3 linked regions of the Anolis sagrei genome follow. The protein of the gene in region 1 purifies or fractionates together with the protein of each later gene. This does not show direct contact. Links are inferred from orthologs where the notes say so. Each region holds a gene or a part of one and is shown in the gene's direction. Other genes may lie near its edges.

Region 1 (7,752 bases):
GGTATACGGATATTATGGATTGCCAATGCAGTTTTTTTTTTTCATGTCAGGAGTGAGTTGAGATTGTGGTGGGGTACAAATAAAGATTTTTTCAAATAATAATAATAATTTATTCTTCATTTATTCAGTCGCTTCCAACTCTTCGTGACCTCATGGACCAGCTCACGCCAGAGCTCCCTGTCAGCCATGGCCACCCCCAGCTCCTTCAAGGTCAAGCCAGTCACTTCAAGGATAACATCCATCCATCTTGCCCTTGGTCAGCCACTCTTCCTTTTTCCTTCCATTTTCCCCAGCATCACTGTCTTCTCCAAGCTTTCCTGTCTTATTACATGGCTAAGTACTTCATCTTTGCCTCTGATATCCTACCCTCCAATGAGCTGTCGGGCTTTATTTTCTTGAGTATGGACTGGTTGGATCTTCTCGTGGCACTCTCAGAATTTTCCTCCAACACCACAGTTCAAAAGTGTCAATCTTCTTTCCTTCAGCCTTCCTTATGGTCCAGCTCTCACATCCATAGGTTACTAAGGGGAATACCATTGCTTTTACTATGCGGATCTTCATTGCCAGCCTGATGTCTCTACTCTTCACTATTTTATTGAGATTTGTCATTGCTCTCCTCCCAAGAAGTAAATGTCTTCTGCAGTCTTCAGCCTGGAAATAAAAAGTCTGTCACTACCGCCATGTTTTCTCCCTCTATTTTCCAGCTATCAATCAGTCCAGTTGATATAATCTTTTATTTAAAAAAATGTTTAACTGCAACCCAGCTTTTGCACTTTCTTCTTTCACCTTGGTTAGAAGGCTCCTCAGCTCCTCCTTGCTTTTGGCCATCAAAGTGGTATCATCTGCATATCTAAGGTTGTTAATGTTTCTTCCAGCAATTTTAACTACAGCCTTGAATTCGTCAAGCCCCGCACATTTATTTATTTATTTACATTATTTCTATCCTGCCCATATCAGCCCGAAGGCGATTACACATTTGCGAGTAAGTCCCATAGAATTAAATGACATTTCCCTTCTTAGCAGAGATGTAAGGCTGCGGTTCTAAACATACTGAATAGTAGCTGTCAACCTTTGTTCATTAGATGTGTTCTGTATACAAGTTGAATAGGTTAGGTGAAAGTATACAGCCTTGACATATCCTTGTCCCGGAAAGGATCGTTACCTTGCCGTGATGCAGCAGCTTGAGCACTTAAATGATGCCACGAGTGAAACCGTGAAGGGACACCCAAGATGGAACAGTCATGGCAGAAAGGTCAGACCGAACACGATCTCTGGGGAAGGTAATGGCAACCCACCCCAGTATGCCAAGAAAACTAAATGGATCTATTATTATTATTATTATTTGAAACATAGCAAACAGAATCACTCTACTGGCTGTTGTATTTGGATCACACGTCGGACACTTCCCAAGTGTCTAAGACTGTGTGATGTGTTGGCGAATAATGCATGCAGATCTCAGTAAGGTGGCCTTCTGCAGCAGGCAGATGGTAATTTTCTCAGCCTCGATTGTGTTTAAGTGCAGGCCAAGGTCTTAAGGCACCGCACCCAATGTGCCGATCACCCCTGGGACCACCTTGACTGGCTTGTGCCAGAGTCTTTGCAGTTCGATTTTTAAATCCTCATATCATGTCAGCTTTTCCAGTTGTTTCTCTGCAATCCTGCTGTCACCTGGGATTGCGACACTGACAATCCATACTTTGTTTTTTAACACAATTGTGAGGTCAGGAGTATTATGCTCCAAAACTCTGTCTGTTTGAATCCGGAAGTCCCAGAGGAGTTTGGCGTGTTCTTTCTCTGTAACTTTTTCCGGCTTGTGATCCCACCAGTTCTTTGTCACAGGCAGATGGTATTTGTGGCAATGAATCATCTGAGCAACGGTGTTGTGCCTCTGCTTGTAGTCTGTCTGTGTGATCTTCTTGCAGCAGCTGAGGATGTGATCTATTGTTTCATCTTCTTCCTTGCAGAGTCTACATTTGGGATCTGTCGTCGACTTTTCAATTCTGGCTTTGATGGCATTTGTTCTAATGGCTTGTTCTTGGGCTGCCAGAATCAGTTCCAATTGTGAGCCACAGCCATGTTTTTTCTTTGTCAGTTTGGCTCTCAATTTTTCCCAGGAATTGTCCATAGAGAGCCTTCTTTTGCCAGTCTTCTCTTCTGCTCTGGATTGTGTTTTTATGATATTTACTCTTTGTCTTTTGCACTCAAAGCAGTTTACTACTATTGACTTCCCTCAATGTTGGTTCTTGACTGCCTTTCACATAATCTGCCAGTGCATGATTCTCTTCTTCTACCATTTGTTTCACTTGCAGAAGCCCTCTGCCTCCTGATTTTCTGGGCAGGTAAAGTCTGTCGACATCACTACACAGGTGTAATGCGTAGTGGATTGTCATGAGTTTTCTTGTTTTTCTGTCCAGATCACCCAGCTCTGCTTGTGTCCAGTTCACAATTCCAGCAGTGTATCTAATGACGGAGAAGGCCCAGGTGTTGATAGCCTTGATCATATTTCCGCCATTTAATTTGCTCTTCAAAACCTTTCTCTTTGGATATATTCTTTGCTGACCATTTTCTACATGCCCATGCTTGATAGTGTCCAACTGTAGCATGCCCAGATATTTATACATCTATTTATATTTATGTTGTTGTTCATTCGTTCAGTCGTCTCCAATTCTTCGTGACCTCATGAACCAGCCCACGCCAGAGCTCCCTGTCGGCCATCACCACCCCCAGCTCCTTCAAGGTCACTCCAGTCACTTCAAGGATGCCAGCCATCCATCTTGCCCTTGATCGGCCCCTCTTCCTTTTACCTTCCACTTTCCCCAGCATAATTGTCTTCTCTAGACTTTCCTGTCTCCTCATGATGTGGCCAAAGTACTTCAGCTTTGTCTCTAGTATCCTTCCCTCCAGTGAGCAGCCGGGCTTTATTTCCTGGAGGATGGACTGGTTGGATCTTCTCGCAGTCCAAGGCACTCTCAGCACTTTCCTCCAACACCACAGTTCAAAAGCATCGATCTTCCTTCGCTCAGCCTTCCCTAAGGTCCAGCTCTCACATCCGTAGGTTACTACAGGGAATACCATGGCTTTGACTAGGCGGATCTTTGTTGCCAGTCTGATGTCTCTACTCTTTACTATTTTATCGAGACTGGACATTGCTCTCCTCCCAAGAAGTAAGCGTCTTCTGATTTCCTGGCCACAGTCTGCATCTGCAGTAATCTCTGCACCTAGAAATACAAAGTCTGTCACGGCCTCCACATTTTCTCCCTCTATTTTCCAGTTGTCAATCATTCTTGTTGCCATAATCTTGGTTTTTTTGACGTTTAGCTGCAACCCAGTTTTTGCGCTTTCTTCTTTCACCTTGATTAGAAGGCTCCTCAGCTCCTCCTTGCTTTTGGCCATCAGAGTGGTGTCATCTGCATATCTGAGGTTGTTAATGTTTCTTCCAGCAATTTTTACCCCAGCTTTGCATTCATCCAGCCCCGCACATCGCATGATGTGTTCTGCATACAAGTTAAAAAGGTTGGGTGAGAGTATGCAGCCTTGCCGTACGCCTTTCCCAATCTTGAACCAGTCTGTTGTTCCGTGGTCAGTTCTTACTGTTGCGACTTGGTCCTTGTACAGATTCCTCAGGAGAGAGACAAGGTGGCTTGGGATGCCCATCCCACCAAGAACTTGCCACAATTTATTATGATCCACACAGTCAAAGGCTTTAGAAGAGTCAATGAAGCAGAAATAGATGTTTTTCTGAAACTCCCTGCCTTTCTCCATTATCCAGCATATATTGGCAACCTGGTCTCTCGTTCCTCTGCCTTTTCTAAACCCAGCTTGCACATCTGGTAACTCTCGCTCCATGTATTGCTGGAGTCTTCCTTGCAGGATCTTGAGCATTACCTTACTGGCATGAGAAGTAAGGGCCACTGTACGGAAGTTGGAGCAGTCTTTCGCATTTCCCTTTTTTGGTATGGGGATATAAGTTGATTTTTTCCAGTCTGATGGCCATTCTTGTGTTTTCCATATTTGCTGGCAAATGGCATGCATCACCTTGAAAGCATCATCTTTTAAGATTTTAAACAGTTCAGCTGGGATCCCGTCGTCTCCTGCTGCCTTGTTGTTAGCAATGCTTCTTAAGGCCCATTCAACCTCACTCCTCAGGATGTCTGGTTCTAATTCATTCACCACACTGTCAAAACTATCCTCGATATTATTATCCTTCCTATACAGATCTTCTGTATAATCTCGCCACCTTCTCTTGATCTCTTCAGCTTCTGTTAGGTCCCTGCCATCTTTGTTTCATTACATTTTTATTTATATAGATTATTATTATTATTATATTTTAGGTTAGCCCAGGCATGGGCACACTTGGGCCTTCCCTCCAGGTGTTTTGGACTTCAACTCCCACAATTCCTAGCCGGAATTGTGGGAATTGAAGTCCAAAATACCTAGAGGGCCCAAGTGTGCCTATGCCTGGTTATCACATCTTTAAATCACTTTTGTGATGGTTTGCTGGAGTCTCTCTATGGGGAGAAAGGCGGGTGAAAAATAAGGGCAATGAATAATTAAATAGATCCAATCAACGCGGCTTCTTCCTCCTCCTCCTGTCTTCCTGGGCAGCCTCCTTGGGGAGAAAAGGGAGGAGGTGGAGGTGGGCTTGGCTGCTTCTCCTCCTTCTCCTCCTCCTTCTCCGGAGACGTCAGCTTGCAGCTCCCCTTCGCCCCGCCTCTTTTTCCTCCTCCCTTCCTTCTCTCCTTGCTGCAGCGTCCTCCCTCCCTCCCATCCTCCTCTCCTCCTTTCCCTCCTTCCTTCCTTCCTTCTTTCCTTCCTGGGCCGGGCAACGCAGGACAGCAGCGCCTTTCCCTCTTTCCCTGGGAGCGCGCCCGGCTCAGCCTCTTTCTCTCTCCTTCCCTGCCCAAAAGAGAGAGAGTGAGAAAGAGAAGAGAAGAAGGAAAAGTCTCTCTCTTTTTCCTCCTTCCTTCCCCCCAAAAAAGAAGGGGGAAAGGGCGTCTTTCCTGCACAAAAAGGAGGGCGAAAACGCGCGCCCCTTTTGCATGCGCGCCTGTGTTCTGCTTCTCTCTCTGCGCGCGCAAAGGGGATTTACTCTTGCTTTTTTCCTATATATTATACATATATAATTAATAAAGACAGCTCTGCATATAGAGATCTTTTTTTTGGTTCCCGAGGAAGAGGAGGAGCAAAAGCAACAGCAGGAGGAAGGAACAGCAACAGCAGGAAAGGGGAGGAGGAGAAGAAACATGGCGAAAACCGAGCAGGTCCTGAGCCTGGAGCCGCAGCATGAGCTCAAATTCAAAGGTAACTTGGAGAGGGGCTGCTTCCTTCCTAACCTGAGCTGCTTCCTCGCCTTTTCCTCCTCCTTTTGGGCTTCTCCTTCGGCCGGGGGACAGCCTGGCTCCCCCTCTTGCCCCTTCCCTTGCTTCTCCCTCCCTTAAACCGAAAGATATCTGTCTAGATCGGCCAGGATATAATCCGATGCGCCGGGGTGGAGGCAGGAGAGGCAGCGGCGCGCTTTGCTGCGGTGCCAAAAAGGGCTCAGCTCCAGCGGCAGCCATTTTCCGGGGGCTCGCCCTCCTCCTCCTCCCCTCCCTCCTCCTAAAATGTCCTTAGTGGAAAAAGCACGGGGGGGACCTGAGCTACCTTTCCCTCCCTCCTTTCCCTCCTTTCCCAGCCCTCTTTCCTCTCCCTCTCTGCTTAAAGCCGCTGCGCAATCTCTCCTTCCTTTGGGTTGGTGCGGTGGCCAGGAGGGCGAGGATGGCACACAGCAGAAGCCTCCTTCTAGAGAACCAAAGCCTTGGGCCTCATCTCCACTGCCATACCACCATACCATACATTATATGGACTCTTGTGAATCTATACTCTCCATATAATGCAGTGTTTCTCAACCTGGGGGTCGGGACCCCTGGGAGAGGGTCGCAAGGGGGTGTCAGAGGGGTCGCCAAAGACCATCAGGAAACACAGTATTTTCTGTTTGTCATGGGGGTTCCCTATGGGAAGTTTGGCCCAATTCTATCATTGGTGGGGTTCAGAATTCTCTTTGGCTGTAGGTGAACTATAAATCCCAGCAAGTACAATTACCAAATGTCAAGTTATTTTCTCCAAACTCTACCAGTGTTCACATATGGGCATATTGAGTATTCATGCCAAATTTGGGCCTGATCCCATCATTGTTTGAGTCTACAGTGCTCTCTGGATGTAGCTGAACTATAACTCCAAAACTCAAGGACAATGCCCACCAAATCCTTCCAGTGTTTTCGGTTGGTTATGGGAGTTCAGTATATCAAGTTTAGTTCAATTCTATCATTGGTGGGGTTCGGAATTCTCTTTGATTGTAGGTGAACTATAAATCCCAGCAACTACAACTCCCAAATGTCACAGTCTTATTTTCCCCAAACTCCACCAGTGTCCACATTTGGGCATATTGAGTATTCGTGCCAAATTTGGTCCTGATCCATCATTGTTTGAGTCTACAGTGCTCTCTGGATGTAGGTGAACTACAACTCCCAAATGCAAGGTCAATGTTCACCAAACCCTTCCAGTATTTTCTGTTGGTCATGGGAGTTCAGTGTGTCAAGTTTGGTTCAATTCCATCGTTGATGGAGTTCAGAATGCTCTTTGATTGTAGGTGAACTATAAATCCCAGCAACTACATCTCCCATATGACAACATCAATCCCCCTTCCAATCCCACCAGTATTTAAATATGGGTGTAACGGGTATTTGTGCTCAATTTGGTTCAATGAATGGAAATACATCCCGCATATCAGATATTTACATGACGATTCATGACAGTAGCAAAATTACAGTTATGAAGTAGCTACGAAAATAATGTTATGGTTGAGGGTCACCACAACATGAGGAACTGTATTAAGGGGTTGTGACATTAGGATGGTTGAGAAACACTGCATTATATGGTCTCCTGTGAGTTTGTACTCTCCATATAATGCATCATAAACTTTGGAAAGGACCATAAGGGCCTTCCAGTCCAATCCCCCTTTCCTCTGAATCAAGGAGGTACTGTCTCTCCTTTGGGTTTGCACCTTCATCCTTCTCTTCAGTGTCTCTCCTTTGGATTTGCACCTTCATTCTTCTTTGGTGGGGAGGCAAAATCCTTCCTGGAAAAGCTCCCTTTCAGACGAAGCCTGGTTCTTTCTCCATCCCTTGTGTTTCTTGGTCTTAGTTTGTGGGCAGTCCTTTGAGGATTGAGGTGCCCAGGATCCCTTACGGTTGCAGGGTGGGTGGGTTGGGTTGCATAGGAATCTGCTGCGCTTGTGTGATGTTAGATACTATGAAGAAGCAGCCTCAGGGAAATCTTAAGGGCCTAAAATGCGTGATTATTTCCTTCATATTAAGGGGAAAACAATCAATGGACCCCAACCAAGCTATGTATTGCACAAACCATGTTTTGGTGGAGACGTGCTGCCAGGTCCATGTTATACAAGGAAAGAAGCCACCCACCCATGTTGCAATGACAATGTTTCCTGACAACTCTGTTCTCTCCCGTTGGTTGAGATAACAGGTCCAACCTCAGTTATGCTTATTTAGAAGTAAGCCCCAATATCTCCACTAAGGGTGTTTTCTACTCAAGTTTGCTAAAGGCTGCTGAAAGCATTTTGTTTGGTGCTCATTTAGGTATCTGATGGATATGGTGTCACATTATTAGACTTTCTATTTTGGCGTGGATTCTCCAAACGGAAATGGGTTAAATCCATTGGCCACTTTTTTTTCCATGTCAGGAGCGACTTGAGAA
Region 2 (7,090 bases), on another chromosome or scaffold:
ATCCTTTACCTATGCTGGAAACCACCCTGAGTCCCCTCGAGGAGATGGAGTAGTATACAAATAAAAGATTATTGTTGCTGTTGTTGTTGTTGTCCTTCATCAGTAACAGGTGGAAACAGTTGTGGAGGGGACGTGGTTTTAAAAAGGTAATTTTCAGATATATTCCCAATGCCCATATGTCATGATTTACTGCCATATTGGCCTATTTCTGCAGTAGGCCTTTGTTCACAGAAAATGCTGATTGTTTGAGAAATCAGTGCTCCAAAGAAGAAGTTACTATTCAAGGGTAACAACATATCCGGACAAAACCAGCTAGCTGTTTGCTAGATAGAACCCCCAAGTTTCCCAGTCGCTCTGAAGCCATGTTTGCAACAGACTAACAGATAAGATACAGTCATGGTCAGAGAACAATGGACCATAGTTATGTTATAGTTGTGCCATTGTTAGAATCCCACGTGTGCTATAATGTCAATCAAAATCATAAACAACTAATGAACAACTGCATAGCTAGCTTAGACTAATGAAATGATTTGTCTTTGGGAACCAATGAAAATGTATATTCCATTTACTATAATTGCTCTGCAGCCCCCTTGGGGGTTGCGACAAACCCTTTGATTGCATCCCTGTATGCTTGTTTGTCGTTATTGCTATGGCCACGCAATAATAAATAGTTTTTTGCAGTTTAAAGGATTCAACTTTCGTGGTGTCCATCCTTGCCCTCCCTATTGGAAAGGGGGCTTCTGCCTTTTGGGAAATATTTTGGTTTTGTTGCCCCTACAGTTGCATTCCTGACCCTCAGGTTATCTGCTTCTAAAGATACCATGGTGCACAGCCACTATCCAGGCTGGTTGGGGAACAAGATGTTGGTTTATTTATTTATTTACACTATTTCTGTCCCGCCCATATCAGCCCGAAGTTGACTCAGGACAGCATACACAGTCGGCACAATTTGATGCCATATATAAAATACATACATTGATAAAAAGCAAAAAAGAAACATTATAGTACGTTTAGAGACATAAAAACAATGAATAATAATAAAATTAAAAACTATGTCCTCTCGTTCAAATCCTCATCCGTTCCATCGTCTTAACCATCGTTCCTGGGTCATTTTCCGATTCAGGTTTGTCTGTTTATCCTGAGGTTCCAAATGCTTGCTCGAAGAGCCAGGTTTTCACTTTGTTTCGAAAGGTCAGGAGGGAGGGGGCTGATCTAATATCCCTAAGCAGGGAGGCGAGGGGCCGCCACAGAGAAGGCCCTGTCTCTCGTCCCTGCCAAACATGCTTGCGAAGCAGGCGGGATCAAGAGCAGGGCCTCCTCGGACGATCTCAAGTTCCTGGTGGGTTCGTAGGAAGAGATGCGTTCGGATAGATAAGCTGGTTCTCAGAATAAATCCTTTGAGATCAGACCTCTGTCAGTTATCTCAGTTCCAAGCGGTGTGGCTCTGGAGAAATCTCCTCCGAAGGATCACGCAGAGAATCCCAAGTGGAGTAGACATCCACACGTTTATTGTTAGGAATACAAGAGCTTCAACTACAGGCCTCTTATATAGTACTAACTACCATACCATAAATCATGTTTTCAGGTATCCTGGTGCCTTTACCATTTCAAAGCCTTTCCATCTCAAGGCCCATTTCCTCCCTTACCTTTGGCACCTAGTCCCATTACCACATCAAACCCCTCCCATATCAAAGCCCAGTTCTTCCCTCACCCTTGGCAGCTAAGTTTTATGGCTGCCCCAATTTGTCCTGCATTTCCTTTTGGCCCAATGTCCCATGGCCACGTGGTTTGTGTCAGTTGTATGGCATGATCGAGAGATCATGACAACCTCTAGCTCTGGGCCCGTTGTTCCCTTGGCAGAGTCCCATGTCAAAAGAACCAGGATTGCAGGATGTAGAAAGACACGGCTTCACTCAGCATTGGCAACAAAAGAAGTTCCTGAATATTTGGGAGACCTTCCTTCTGGCCAGAGCTGTTCACCAGTGGAATCTGCAGCTTCCTGGGAGTCTGTCTGAGTTGTTGGGAGGGCTTGGATTGTGTCTTCCTGTCTTCCTGGCAAACATGGGTTGGACTTGATGGCCTTTGGCGTCCCTTCTAACTTGATGAAGAATGCTGCACTTGCAGAGCTCAGGTGGTGTTGAATTTCAGTGTCGATGTTGACTTTTGTGGAGAGGGGGCTGCCAAGGGAGCGGAAATGGTCCACATTGTCTACTGTTGCTGTGTTTCTGGCATTGGAGAGGGATCAGCTGGTGACTGCTGGAAGAGCACTTTGGTTTTCTCGATGTTGAATGACAGGCTGAGCTGCTTCTCGTATGCTTCTGCAAAGGTGTTTAGAGTGGCTTGTAGGTCTTCTTCTGAATGTGCACAGACTGCATTGTCATCAGCATACTGGAGTTCTATAACAGATGTTGTTGTGACCTTGGTTTTGGTTTTCAGTGCAATACAGTGGCAGTGCATGATGAAGAAGCTGCCTTGTCTGGCCACGTGGAAGGAAGGGCATGGGCCTTTCTTGAGAATCCTGTTATAGAACTCCAGTATGCTGATGACAACGCAGTCTGTGTGCATTCAGAAGAAGACATACAAGCCACTCTCAACACCTTTGCAGAAGCATACGAGAAGCAGCTCAGCCTGTCATTGAACATCAAGGAAACCAAAGTGCTCTTCCAGCATTCACCAGCCAATCCCTCTCCAATGCCAGAAACACAGCTTCATGCTGTTAGCTGGCCCTGATTGCTTAATGCCTGTTTCTTTATGCAGATACCTACATCATGTTGAATGTTGCCATTGGCCACCTTGATCAGCTCCAGTTCTGGGCACCACAATTCAAGAGAGATATTGACAAGCTGGAATGTGTCCAGAGGAGAGCGACTAAAATGATAAAAGGTCTGGAGAACAAGCCCTATGAGGAGCGGCTTAAGGAGCTGGGCATGTTCAGCCTGAAGAAGAGAAGGCTGAGAGGGGATATGATAGCCATGTATAAATATGTGAGAGGAAGCCACAGGGAGGAGGGAGCAAGCTTCCTTTCTGCTTCCTTGGAGACTAGGACGCGGAACAATGGCTTCAAACTACAAGAGAGGAGATTCCATCTGAACATTAGGAAGAACTTCCTGACTGTGAGAGCCGTTCAGCAGTGGAACTCTCTGCCCCGGAGTGCGGTGGAGGCTCCTTCTTTGGAAGCTTTGAAACAAAGGCTGGATGGCCATCTGTCAGGGGCGATTTGAATGCAATATTCCTGCTTCTTGGCAGAATGGGGTTGGACTGGATGATGGCCCAGGAGGTCTCTTCCCACTCTAGGATTCTAGGATTCTGTAACTTCCTGACTGTGAGAGCTGTTCAGCAGTGGAACTCTCTGCCCCGGAGTGCGGTGGAGGCTCCTTCTTTGGAGGCTTTGAAACAGAGGCTGGATGGCCATCTGTCAGGGGTGATTTGAAGGGAATAGAGTTTAAGGAGATTCCATCTGAATATGAGGAAGAACTTCCTGACTGTGAGAGCCGTTCAGCAGTGGAACTCTCTGCCCCGGAGGGAGTGTGGTGGAGGCTCCTTCTTTGGAAGCTTTGAAGCAGAGGCTGGATGGCCATCTGTCAGGGGTGCTTTGAATGCAATATTCCTGCTTCTTGGCAGAATATGGTTTGGACTGGATGATGGCCCAGGAGGTCTCTTCCAACTCTAGGATTCTAGGATTCTATGAATGGCCTTGCAGCTTGAAAGCCTGGCTGCTTCCTGCCTGGGAGAATACTTTGTTGCGAGGTGTTAGCTGGCCTTGATTGCTTAATATCTGTTTCTGGCTGTTTCTCTCCCGGCGAGGGCCTGGCGCCTCCTGGCGGCCTCTTGGGGGCAGCAACGTCCCGGTACCCATGTGCGCGGGGGAGCAATTCCACCCGGAGCCTGAAGAGCGACGCGCAGGAGGCGCGCCTTCCCATTGGCCGAGCGCCGCTGCCGCCACGTGACCGCGCGGCGTGCTCCGGGAAAGCGGTCCCCTTCCTTCCTTCCTCGGGCAGCAACATGGGCAAGAAGAAGGCCGCGGCGTCGGGGGGTCCGGGCCTGGGGAGAGCCCTCCTCCGAGAGCGGGGACAGGGCCGCGGGGGGAAGCAGCGGGGAGACCCCGGATGGGTGAGAGAGAGAAAGAAAGAAAGAGAGACATGTCTTGTCGAAGGCTTTCATGGCCGGAATCCCTGGGTTGTTGTAGGTTTTTTCGGGCTATATGGCCATGGTCTAGAGGCATTCTCTCCTGACATTTCGCCTGCATCTATGGCAAGCATTCTCAGAGGGAGTGAGGTCTGTTGGAACTAGGAAAAAGGGTTGGTATATCTGTGGAATGGCTGGGGTGGGGCAAAGGACTCTTGTCTGCTGGAGCTAGGTGGGAAGGTTTCAACTGACCACCTTCATTAGCATTTGAAGGCATTTGAAGGCCTGCCTGAGCCTGGGAAAATCTCTTGCTGGGAGGTGTTAACACGAATCAAGGAACATGAAAGGCACTGCAGACTCCTTCAAACAGAGAAGTCAGCCATAGCAGAGCACCTGATGAACCAACCTGGACACAGCAGATTATTTGAGAAGACAGAAATGTTGGCCCACTCTCACAACCACCATGTGAGGCTACACAGAGAAGCCATTGAGATCCACAAGAAGCAGGTGGACAATGTCAACAAAAAGGAAGAGACCATGAAAATGAACAAAATCTGGCTACCAGTATTAAAAAAACTCTAAAATTACAACAGCAAAACAGTAGAGAGGAAACAAACAGGCACATCTTAACACCTCTCAACAAAACATTTCCCAGGCTCAGCCAGGCCTTCAAATGCTAATGAAGGTGGTCAGTTGAAACATTCACACCTAGCTCCAGCAGAGAAGAGCTCTGTGCCCCACCCCAGTCATTCCACAGATATATAAACCCATTTTCCTATTTCCAGCAGACCTCACTCCCTCTGAGGATGCTTGTCGTAGATGCAGGTAAAACGTCAGGAGAGAATGCCTCTAGAACATGGCCATATACCCCGAAAAAACCCACAAGAACTGAAAGAGAGACATACTGCTGGGCTTTGGCTTGGCGTCTTCAAGGATAGGCCGGGCCCACTCCGGTCCTCCTCCGCGGGTTCGGATGCCAGCTCCCACCCTTCCTCACAGCCGGTAGTTGGAGTCCAAAACCCCCGGAGGAGAGCCGAAGTGGGGCCAGGCCTGGCTGATGTATCGGTGAGCTTCAGTTAGGAAGCAGGAGGCTTTCCAACAGAGGCTGGGTGGCCATCTTCCAGGACTGCTTTGAACGTGCTTCTCCTGCATCAAGGGCCTGGAGTACACGCCCCGAGAGGAGAGCGCGGCTGAAGGAGCTGCCGGGCATGTTTAGCCTGAAGAAGAGAAGGACGAGACGAGGCAGGATGAGGGCCATGTATAAGTATGTGAGAGGAAGCCACAGGGAGGAGGAGGGACCAAGCTTCCTTCCTGCTTCCCTGGAGACTAGGACGCAATGGAACAATGGCTTCAAACTACAAGAGAGGAGATTCCACCTGAACATGAGGAAGAACTTCCTGACTGTGAGAGCCATTCAGCAGTGGAACTCTCTACCCTGGAGTGTGGTAGAGGCTCCTTCTTTGGAAGCTTTGAAACAGGGGCTGGATGGCCATCTGTCAGGGGTGATTTGAATGCAACATTCCTGCTTCTTGGCAGAATGGGGTTGGACTGGATGAGGACCCAGGAGGTCTCTTCCCACTCTAGGATTCTATGAGGCTGGATGGCCATCTGTCAGGGGTGCTTTGAATGCAACATTCCTGCTTCTTGGCAGAATGGGGTTGGACTGGATGAGGGCCCAGGAGGTCTCTTCCCACTCTAGGATTCTATGAGGCTGGATGGCCATCTGTCAGGGGTGCTTTGAATGCAACATTCCTGCTTCTTGGCAGAATGGGGTTGGACTGGATGAGGGCCCAGGAGGTCTCTTCCCACTCTAGGATTCCAGGATTTTTAACACTTCCATAATGCAATTTTAAGGTTCCTTTTTGTGGTGGGGGCTTCGCTCTTGCCAGGTCTCTGTAGGCCTGGGACCAGCGTGGAGATGCCATGGGGGGAGGGAATACAGGCACACGTGCCCCATGGCTATGAATTGCCCCCCCCCCCAAAACCCCAACAGGGAAGGGAAGTCCCAGGGAGGAGGGGGGGTCAGGCTTCCTTTCTGCTGCTCTGGAGACTAGGAGCAATAAGTTGTAGCAGGACCAAGTGTGTATGTTATCTTAGGTTTTTTACCCCTGAGTCTTATCCTTTATGATCAGACCATCCTGAATTAAATTGTGAAGATCTCAGGCGCCTTCATTCCCGTTCTTTTGGCACCAGAGGAAGGTCTTGTCCTTCAACATAGGCCATTGAACTGGGGTTGTGTGTATTCCGATATTCACAGCCATTGAGAGAGAGGGAAACAGGAAAAGCTTCTCAGCTAAAAACTCCTAGGACCCTGGACTTTAAAGTTTATAAAGTATTTTTCCCTGTTGAAACATCAAGTTTGTGCCTAAGAAAGATAACTCATTGTCAACAATGAATATCATTTCGAGTTACCTGTTGTGTTCTGGTCCTTGGAAGTTTTAGTTTCCCTAAAGGAGGGCAAGAAGCAATCCCCTGGGGACAGATGTCACGTTCATGCCTCCTTTTCTACGAGCTATAGCCTCAGGCGCGACGGCACAGTGTAGCCTGCAGAAGAGAAGGATGAGACGAGGCAGGATGGTGAGGGCCAGGGATCAAGATGTGAAGAGAAGCCCGAGGGGGAAGGGGGAGCAGGCTTCCTTTATGCTGCCCCGGAGACTAGAACGCAATGGAACAATGGCTGCAAACTAATAATAATAATAATAAACTTTATTTTTACCCTGCCATCATCTCCCCAAGGGGACTCAGGGTGACTTACATGAGGCCAAGCCCAGCAATTGCAACAATGCAAATATACAGCCTCAATAATACAGCAATAAAATATAATAAAAATACAAAAAATACAAAAAGCAATACAAAGCAAACACACAGTGCGATATAAAATCACAATAAGGAAAGGAAAACTACAGGAAAGGAAGGAGATTGACCTGGTAGAGAGAGAAGGAAGGAGAGTAGACCTGGTACACCT
Region 3 (7,640 bases), on another chromosome or scaffold:
GCCCAGAGTGGAATAAGCTCCTGACCATTAATAGCCTAGCATGCCATCAACCTATGCAGCCTGAAAGACAGTTACATCTGTCAAGTAGGAAATTTAGTTACCATGTTATGCAGGGAGGCTAATTTAACTAATTTACAAGGCCATAAAACCTCCCAGAAGTGTGCAGAAGAATGAGCAAATACTCCATCAAAGGACTCAGTGTCACAACTGGGCGGTGAAGCGGCAGCTCCCTCTGTGGCCGGAATCGAGCATACCCTCATGAAGCCGGAAAAGCTGGAATATTAAATTGTCTCTCTGCCTGTCTATATAGGTTGTATGTCTAAATGGCATTGAATGTTTGCCATGTATATGTGAATTGTAATCCACCCTGAGTCTCCTGGAAGGTGAGAAGGGCGGAATATAAATACTGTAAATAAATAAATACTGTAAATAATGCTGCTGCCTCAGTGAACTACAATTCTCAGGGTTCCATAATATCGACTCATGGCAGTTACAATGGTGTTACAATGCATTAATTCTACAATGTAGATGTACCCCAAGCAACAAGTGCATGTTTGTAATCCTAAAGGTAAGTAAAGATAGCAATCTTATACATAAAAATGCCTACAAGCTAAAGTACAAAAGTTTGTTTCTGAGTAATGACATGTACTGGAGTGAACTCTAAGATTGTATCCATATCACAACCTTATTTATTTATTTATTTATTTGCTCAATTTATATTCCACCCTTCTCACTCTGAAGGGGACTCAGGGTGGATCACAGAACACATATATCGCAAACATTTAATGGCAATTATACAATGACAAGACAGACAACAGATAGAGGTATATCTAAGCTTTCCTATCTTTCGGCATTTTGGAGGCTGTGCTTGGTTCCGGCCAACGGGGGATGCTGTCACTCTATCTCTCTGCTGAAGAGCTTTCTTTTGTTCATAAATATTCTCCTTTTTCTGATTGAAATGCCATGCCTAAATACCTCCCCGCTTTAACACGGTACCTATTTATCTACACACATTTGTTTTGGATCTGCTAGGTGGGCAGAGAGCTGGGCTAAAGGAGCTCACCCTGACCCGAGCTTTGAACTGTCAATCTTCCGATTGGCAAGATTTATTGCAGCTGGTGGTTAACCTACTGTGCTAAAGCCCGGCTCTTGATATCACTTGAACTGCTTTGGTTCAATGCTATGGAATTATGGGATTTGTCTGGGGAGGCCCTGCTCTCAATCCCGTCTACTTCACAGGAGTATCTGGCAGGGACTAGAGACAGGGCCTTCTCAGTGGTGGCCCCTCGGCTGTGGAACTCCCTTCCCAGGGATATTAGATCAGCCCCCTTTCTCCTGACCTTTCAGAACAGGGTGAAAACTTGGCTCTTTGAGCAAGTGTTTGGAGCTTCAGCGTGACCAGATAAATACAAAATTGTAATACGAACACAGAATGGCCAAGACGATGAAAACTGATGAGGAATTAGTCTGGATGACACTGTTTTTTAATAGATTTTTATAGTTTTTATGGATTTTATATGTATGAGGGTTGAATAAAAAGTAATGCCCCCACCTTCATAACTCCTCAACAGATGGCAGTACTGGTATGCGGCAGGTACTGGCTTGTTCAATACACTCTCCTCTACTGTTCCATTTTGGTGGGAAGCCTTAGCATTAAATGGTTGTGTTGTTAAAGTGCAATGTATGGAACCCTGCGCAGACACTCGGTCAATGCGACTTAAGCAACGTGCAGTCATTGAATTCTTAACAATAGAAGGTGTCACCTCCATATCTTTAAACTTGGTCACCCAATGATGCTCAGTACTCACATCAACACAATCACCATAAACGGCTGATGAATCTCCTTTGGGGTGACACCTTCTGCTGTCAAGAATTCAATGACTGCACATTGCTTAAGTTGCATTGACCAAAGTCTGTGCAGGATTCCATACTTTGCACTTTAATAACATAACCGTTCAATGTTAAAGCTTTCCGCCAAAATGGAACTGTAGAGGAGAGTCTATTGAACAAGCCAGTACCTGCCGCATACTAGTACTGTCATCTGTTGAGGAGCTATGCCCTCGTATTTATGATGTGATTTAATTGATTTTAACAGATATATGCACACACACACACACACACACACACACACACACATATATATATATATATGACATCTAATTGTTGCTGGTCTGTATGCTGCCCTGAGTTTCCTTCAGGCTGAAATGGATGGGATAGAAATGATGTAAATAAATCTATATAAATAAAAATGTAATGTTTGTTTGTGGGATTAACAGAACTCAAAAACCACTGGACGAATTGACACCAAATTTGGACACAAGACACCTAACAACCCAATGTATGTCCTTCACTCAAAAAAAATTAGATTTTGTCATTTGGGAGTTGTAGTTGCTGTGATTTATAGTTCACCTACAATCAAAGAGCACTCTGAACCCCACAAATGATGGAATTGAACCAAACTTGGCACACAGTTCTCCCATGACCAACAGAAAATACTGGAAGGGTTTGGTGGGCAGTGTCCTTTGGTTTTGTAGCAGTAGTAGTTCTCCTCCAGAAACTTTGCATGGCTGCCACAAATTATGATGACAAGAGGTCATGGAAATTTGTCTAATAGATTGATCAGTAAACATATTCATGGGTTCCCTGCTGTTATAGTAAGCCTGTTACCCATGCTACGACATGCTTGAAGTCAACATTACATTTATTTGTAATTAGAAATGTTTCACAATATATAAAATAAATGTTTAACAATCTTCCCGTGTAAACTATAGTTCGGCCCTCCAACAGTCTGAGGGACAGTGACCTAGCCCCCTGTTCAAAATGTTTGAGGACCCCTGTCCTAGAATATCAAGACAAAAAATCTGACATTATCTTAATGTGGATTCAGATAACCCAATTCAAAGCAGATATTGTGGGATTTTCTGCCTTGATATTCTGGGATATAGGGCTGTGTGGAAGGGTCCTAAAAGATCAGGATTTCAGCTCCTATTTATCCTTGGAAACAGGCCCGGAGCCAGGATTTTGATGGGGGTGGGGTGGGGGCTGAGTCTGAGTGAAAGAGGGTCTACCCTAGCAAACCTTTTGTATTGTTACCCTAATATTTATTATTTATTTATTTACTTTATTTCTATACCGCTTTTCTCAGCCCTTAGGCGACTCAAAGCGGTTTACACAACAATGCAAAATATCACAAAACAGTATAATGCAATTAAAACAGATTATAACATAACAATTAACAACAGTATAACAATCATAACGCCTCAACAATAAAATCAGAATCCACTCTCATTATCCATTGTTCCGTATTCCTATTTTCAATTTCACTGTTTAGTCAAACGCTTATTCGAATAGCCAGGTCTTCACCTTCCTCCGAAACGGCAACAGCGAGGGGGGGCGATCTGATGTCTGCAGGTAGGGCATTCCACAGCCGAGGGGGCCACCACTGAGAAGGCCCTCCCCAGATGATCTTAGTGTCCTGGTCGGTTCATAGGAGGAGATGCATATGGGATATATTGAGCATGTTGATCAGATCATGATATGAATAAACATAACAGTTTACATAATGTACCAGTAAGCAGGGCCGTAGCCAGAAAAAATTTTTGGGGAGGGTTGACAATTTCGGAGGAGGGGGTGGTTGAAAATTTCGGGGAGGGTTGAAAATTTCGGGGGGGGGGGGGTGAAACCTGCCTCCTAGCTCACGCTGAAGCAAAGAGCACAGCAGGGATCAGAGCAACCTTCAATAGCCTGCAGCTCCATCCCTGTCAACCACCTCCACCAAGTCTGGCCTCCTTAATGAGAGCATTCAACACACACATCCCCAACTTGGTTGCTTCACTACATTGGCTATTGCTGCAAGTAATGACAGTGTGAATAAATTGTCAATATTTGCTTGAGATAGTGCTTACAGTTCTGGAGGGACTCTAAATTGTTTGCATCTCATAGACTTAGCATGGGGATTTGGTTGACCAGTTAAAATTCATGAGTAAACCAGGTTTTTTTAAAAAATCTGAAACATTTCAGGGGGGGGGGTTGAACCCCTAAAACCATCCTCTCGCTACAGGCCTGCCAGTAAGGCCTTCTCGCGGACCACCATGAGAATTTGGGGGGGGGGGGGGCTGAAGCCCCTCAAGCCCCCCCCCCCTACATGCCTGCTTGGAAACCAACGGGAGAGGTCACACACTCTCAGCCTAACTAAAGCAATGGCAAACCCCTCCCCTGAAAAGATCCTGCTAGGAAAACTCTAAGGGCCCTTCCACATAGCTCTGTATCTCAGAATGGTGTCGAATAAAGGCAGCTTGACGTTGTTCCAATGAGAGTTTGAGTTAGAGAGGCACCAGAAGAGGCTCAAGACCTTGTAAGAGCCGGACCCTCAGGATTTCCCAGCAGTGAGCAGGCAGTTGTAAAGGAGTGTCAAACCGCATTAGTTCCAAAGAGTGGGCACCCTCCCACCTCCCCCCCCCCTCTCTCTCTCCGGCGCGCTTTGAGCCTCGGAGGGGCGTGTCGGGAGGCGGGGCCACCGAAGCCCCTCCCTCTCATTGCGAAGGAGGGTCGTCCCTTTCCCTTTGGCCCTCCGGGAAGCAAAGGAGGAGGAGGAGGAGATCCGCAAGGCAGAGGGCGGCGGGGTGGGTCTGAGCCGGACGTCGAGGAGAAGGAAGCAGGGGAGGCTGTGGCGGGTCTCTCCCTTTTCCCTCCTTTGCGGATGAGTCAGGTATTTCTCCCCCGAGCTCCATGGAGAAGGCGCAGAGCAGCGTCGGCGCGGAGGGGAACAACAACAACAGCGGAGGAGGAGGAGGAGGCAGCAACAGCAGCAGCCGGAGCAGCAGCCGGCCCCCTTCCGCGGGATCCTCTCCGTCCTCTTCGGCCGGGAGAGGGCTGCCCAACCGGAGGCCCGAGGGAGGAGGAGGAGGAGGCGGGAGTGGGAGCAGCCCCGGTTCGGCTGCAGCCAGCCCGGGGGCCAGGAGGACGGAGCCGGCGCTGGAGGGCAGCCTCAGCAAATACACCAACCTGCTCCAGGGCTGGCAGAGCCGGTAAGGAAGGCGACAAAGAGGATGGAGGCAGGGGAGGACTGCCTTCTCTCCTCAGGTGCAGCTTTTTCCTTTGCCACCTTTGCCCACTTTTTCCCGCCCAGGTCCAAACTTGGGCCCTCCAGGTGTGTTGGAGTCCAACTCCCACCATTCCTCACAGCCTCAGGCCCCTTCCTTTTCCCCCTCAGCCGCTTAAGCGGCTGAGGGGGAAAAGGAAAGGGCCTGAGGCTGTGAGGAATGGTGGGAGTTGGACTCCAACACACCTGGAGGACCCAAGTTTGCCCATGCCTGCTGTATACACTTTGACACCACTTTCCTCAATGCATGTTGTGGAGTTTGGACAAGCTCTCCAGCCTTCTCTGCTGGTGCCTCACCCAACTCTTTTCCTCCTCCATGGCAGTTCAAGCTCTGTCTTAACTACATTCACAAGATGTTTTATAGAATCATAGAGTTGGACCATCCAGGAATATTACATTCAAAGCACTCCTGACAGATGGTCATCCAGCCTCTGTTTAAAAGCTTCCAAAGAAGGAGCCTCCACCACACTCCAGGGCAGAGAGTTCCACTGCTGAACAGCTCTCACTCTCAGGAAGTTCTTCCTAATATTCAGATGGAATCTCCTTTCTTGTAGTTTGAAGTCATTGTTCCACTTCTTACTCTTCAGAACAGCAGAAAACAAGCTTGCTCCCTCCTCTCTATGACTTGCTTTCACATATTTATACATGGCTATCATGTCTCCTCTCAGCCTTCTCTTCTTCAGGCTCAACATGTCCAGCTCTTTAAGCCGCTTCTCATAGGACTTGTTCTCCAGACTTGATCATTTTAGTCGCCCTCCTCTGGACACATTCCAGCTTGGCAACATCTGTCTTCAATTGTGGTGTCCCGAATTGGACACAATATTCTAGGTGTGGTCTAACCAAAGCGGAAGAGAGGGGTAGCATGACTTCCCTGGGTCTAGACTCTATACTTCTATTGATGCAGGTCAAAATCCCATTGGCTTTTTTTGCCGCCGCATCACATTGTTGGCTCATGTTTAACTTGTTGTCCATGAGGACTCCAAGTTTTTTGTAGTAATAGTAATTTCCTTGATTAGCCCATCAGCCGCATCAAAACACTTGACAATCACATTCGACACATACAGCATACAACCCACAGTACAACAAAGTTAAACAAGCTGGGTTGTTGTGAGTTTTCTGGTCTGTCTGGCCATGTTCCAGAAGCATTCTCTCCTGACGTGTCGCCCACATCTATGGCAGGCATTCTCAGAGGTGGTGAGGTTTCTGTGAGTTTTCTGGGCTGTCTGGCCATGTTCCAGAAGCATTCTCTCCTGATGTTTTGCCCGCTTCTATGGCAGGCATTCTCAGAGGTGGTGAGGTTTCTGTGAGTTTTCTGGGCTGTATGGCTATGTTCCAGAAGCATTCCCTCCTGATGTTTCACCCACATCTGCAACAGGCATCAGAGGTTTTGAGGTCTGGGTTGCTGTGAGTTTTCTGGGCTGTAGGGCCAAGTTCCAGAAGCATTTTTTTCCTGACATTTCACCCACATCTATAGCAGGCATACCTCTGAGGAATCCTGCCATAGATGGGATGAAACATCAGGAGAGAATGCTTCTGGAACATGGCCATATAGCCCGGAAAACTCACAGCAACCCATTAATTCCAGCCATGGAAGCTTTCGACAACTCATGAGGTCTGTTGGAAACTAGGCAAGTGGGGTTTATATGTCTATGATATGTCTAGGGTGGTAGAAATAACTCTGTCTATTTGAGGCAGGTGTGAATATTACAGTTGGCTACCTAGATTAACATTTAATGGCCTTGCAGCTTCAAGTTCTGGCTGCTAACTGCCTGGAGGAATCCTTTGTTGGGAGAAGATTAGCTGGTTCTGATTGTTTCCTGACTGGAACCCCCCTATTTTGGAGTGTTCTTTATTTACTGTTTTTATTTTAGCGTTTTTTTAAAACACTGGCAGCCAGATTTTGTTCATTTTCATGGTTCTCTCCTTTCCGTTGAAATTGTCCACATCCTTGTGGATTTTGATGGCTTCTCTGTGGAGTCTGATGTGGTGGTTGTTAGAGTGGTCCAGCATTTCTGTGTTCTCAAATAAAACAGAGGAATTCCAGACACGAAACAATCAAGGCCAGCTAATCACCTCCCAACAAAGTATGGCCAATGCAGCAATTCACACTTGCCTCAAACAGACAAGAGTTTTTTCTCCCACCCTGGACATTCCACAGATATATAAACCCCACTTACCTAGTTTCCAACAGACTTCACCGCTTCTGAGGATGCCTACCATAGATGCAGGCAAAACATCAGGAGAGAATGCTTCTGGAACATAGCCATATAAGCCCGGAAAACTCAAAGCTACCCAGTGATTCCAGCTATGAATGCCTTCAACAATATGATAAACAAGCTGTTAATAAGGAATCAAGATCCCAATCCAGATTCAATATCTTCATCATCCCTACAGTTTACCCCAGTCAGCTCCAAATACGCAGTTCTCAGCTGAGCTGCTTTATATAAAAAAAGGGCCATTTAGTGTGTTATTTTAGCATTATTTAGCAATCAAAATGTAGTTTTAATATAAGGATCCCAGTGTGCCTTTTGTATAATGT

What was found.
Region 2: the proteins of VAPB (region 1) and LSG1 purify together in Homo sapiens (affinity purification with mass spectrometry; 3 studies listed by BioGRID and IntAct, counting the BioPlex papers as one, with this or other methods). This does not show direct contact. The link is inferred for Anolis sagrei from reciprocal best matches to the Homo sapiens genes VAPB and LSG1.
Region 3: the proteins of VAPB (region 1) and OSBPL10 purify together in Homo sapiens (affinity purification with mass spectrometry; 4 studies listed by BioGRID and IntAct, counting the BioPlex papers as one, with this or other methods). This does not show direct contact. The link is inferred for Anolis sagrei from reciprocal best matches to the Homo sapiens genes VAPB and OSBPL10.

Annotation. Positions count from the first base shown.
Region 1 is NC_090024.1:228,270,392-228,278,143, forward strand, and holds the start of VAPB (vesicle-associated membrane protein-associated protein B/C), read left to right. Parts: upstream 1-4,717; 5' UTR 4,718-5,243; coding exon 5,244-5,301; intron 5,302-7,752. UniProt on the Homo sapiens protein: Endoplasmic reticulum (ER)-anchored protein that mediates the formation of contact sites between the ER and endosomes via interaction with FFAT motif-containing proteins such as STARD3 or WDR44.
Region 2 is NC_090023.1:274,191,172-274,198,261, reverse strand, and holds the start of LSG1 (large subunit GTPase 1 homolog), read left to right. Parts: upstream 1-3,986; 5' UTR 3,987-4,002; coding exon 4,003-4,110; intron 4,111-7,090. UniProt on the Homo sapiens protein: Functions as a GTPase. May act by mediating the release of NMD3 from the 60S ribosomal subunit after export into the cytoplasm during the 60S ribosomal subunit maturation.
Region 3 is NC_090026.1:81,780,241-81,787,880, forward strand, and holds the start of OSBPL10 (oxysterol-binding protein-related protein 10), read left to right. Parts: upstream 1-4,536; 5' UTR 4,537-4,728; coding exon 4,729-5,027; intron 5,028-7,640. UniProt on the Homo sapiens protein: Probable lipid transporter involved in lipid countertransport between the endoplasmic reticulum and the plasma membrane.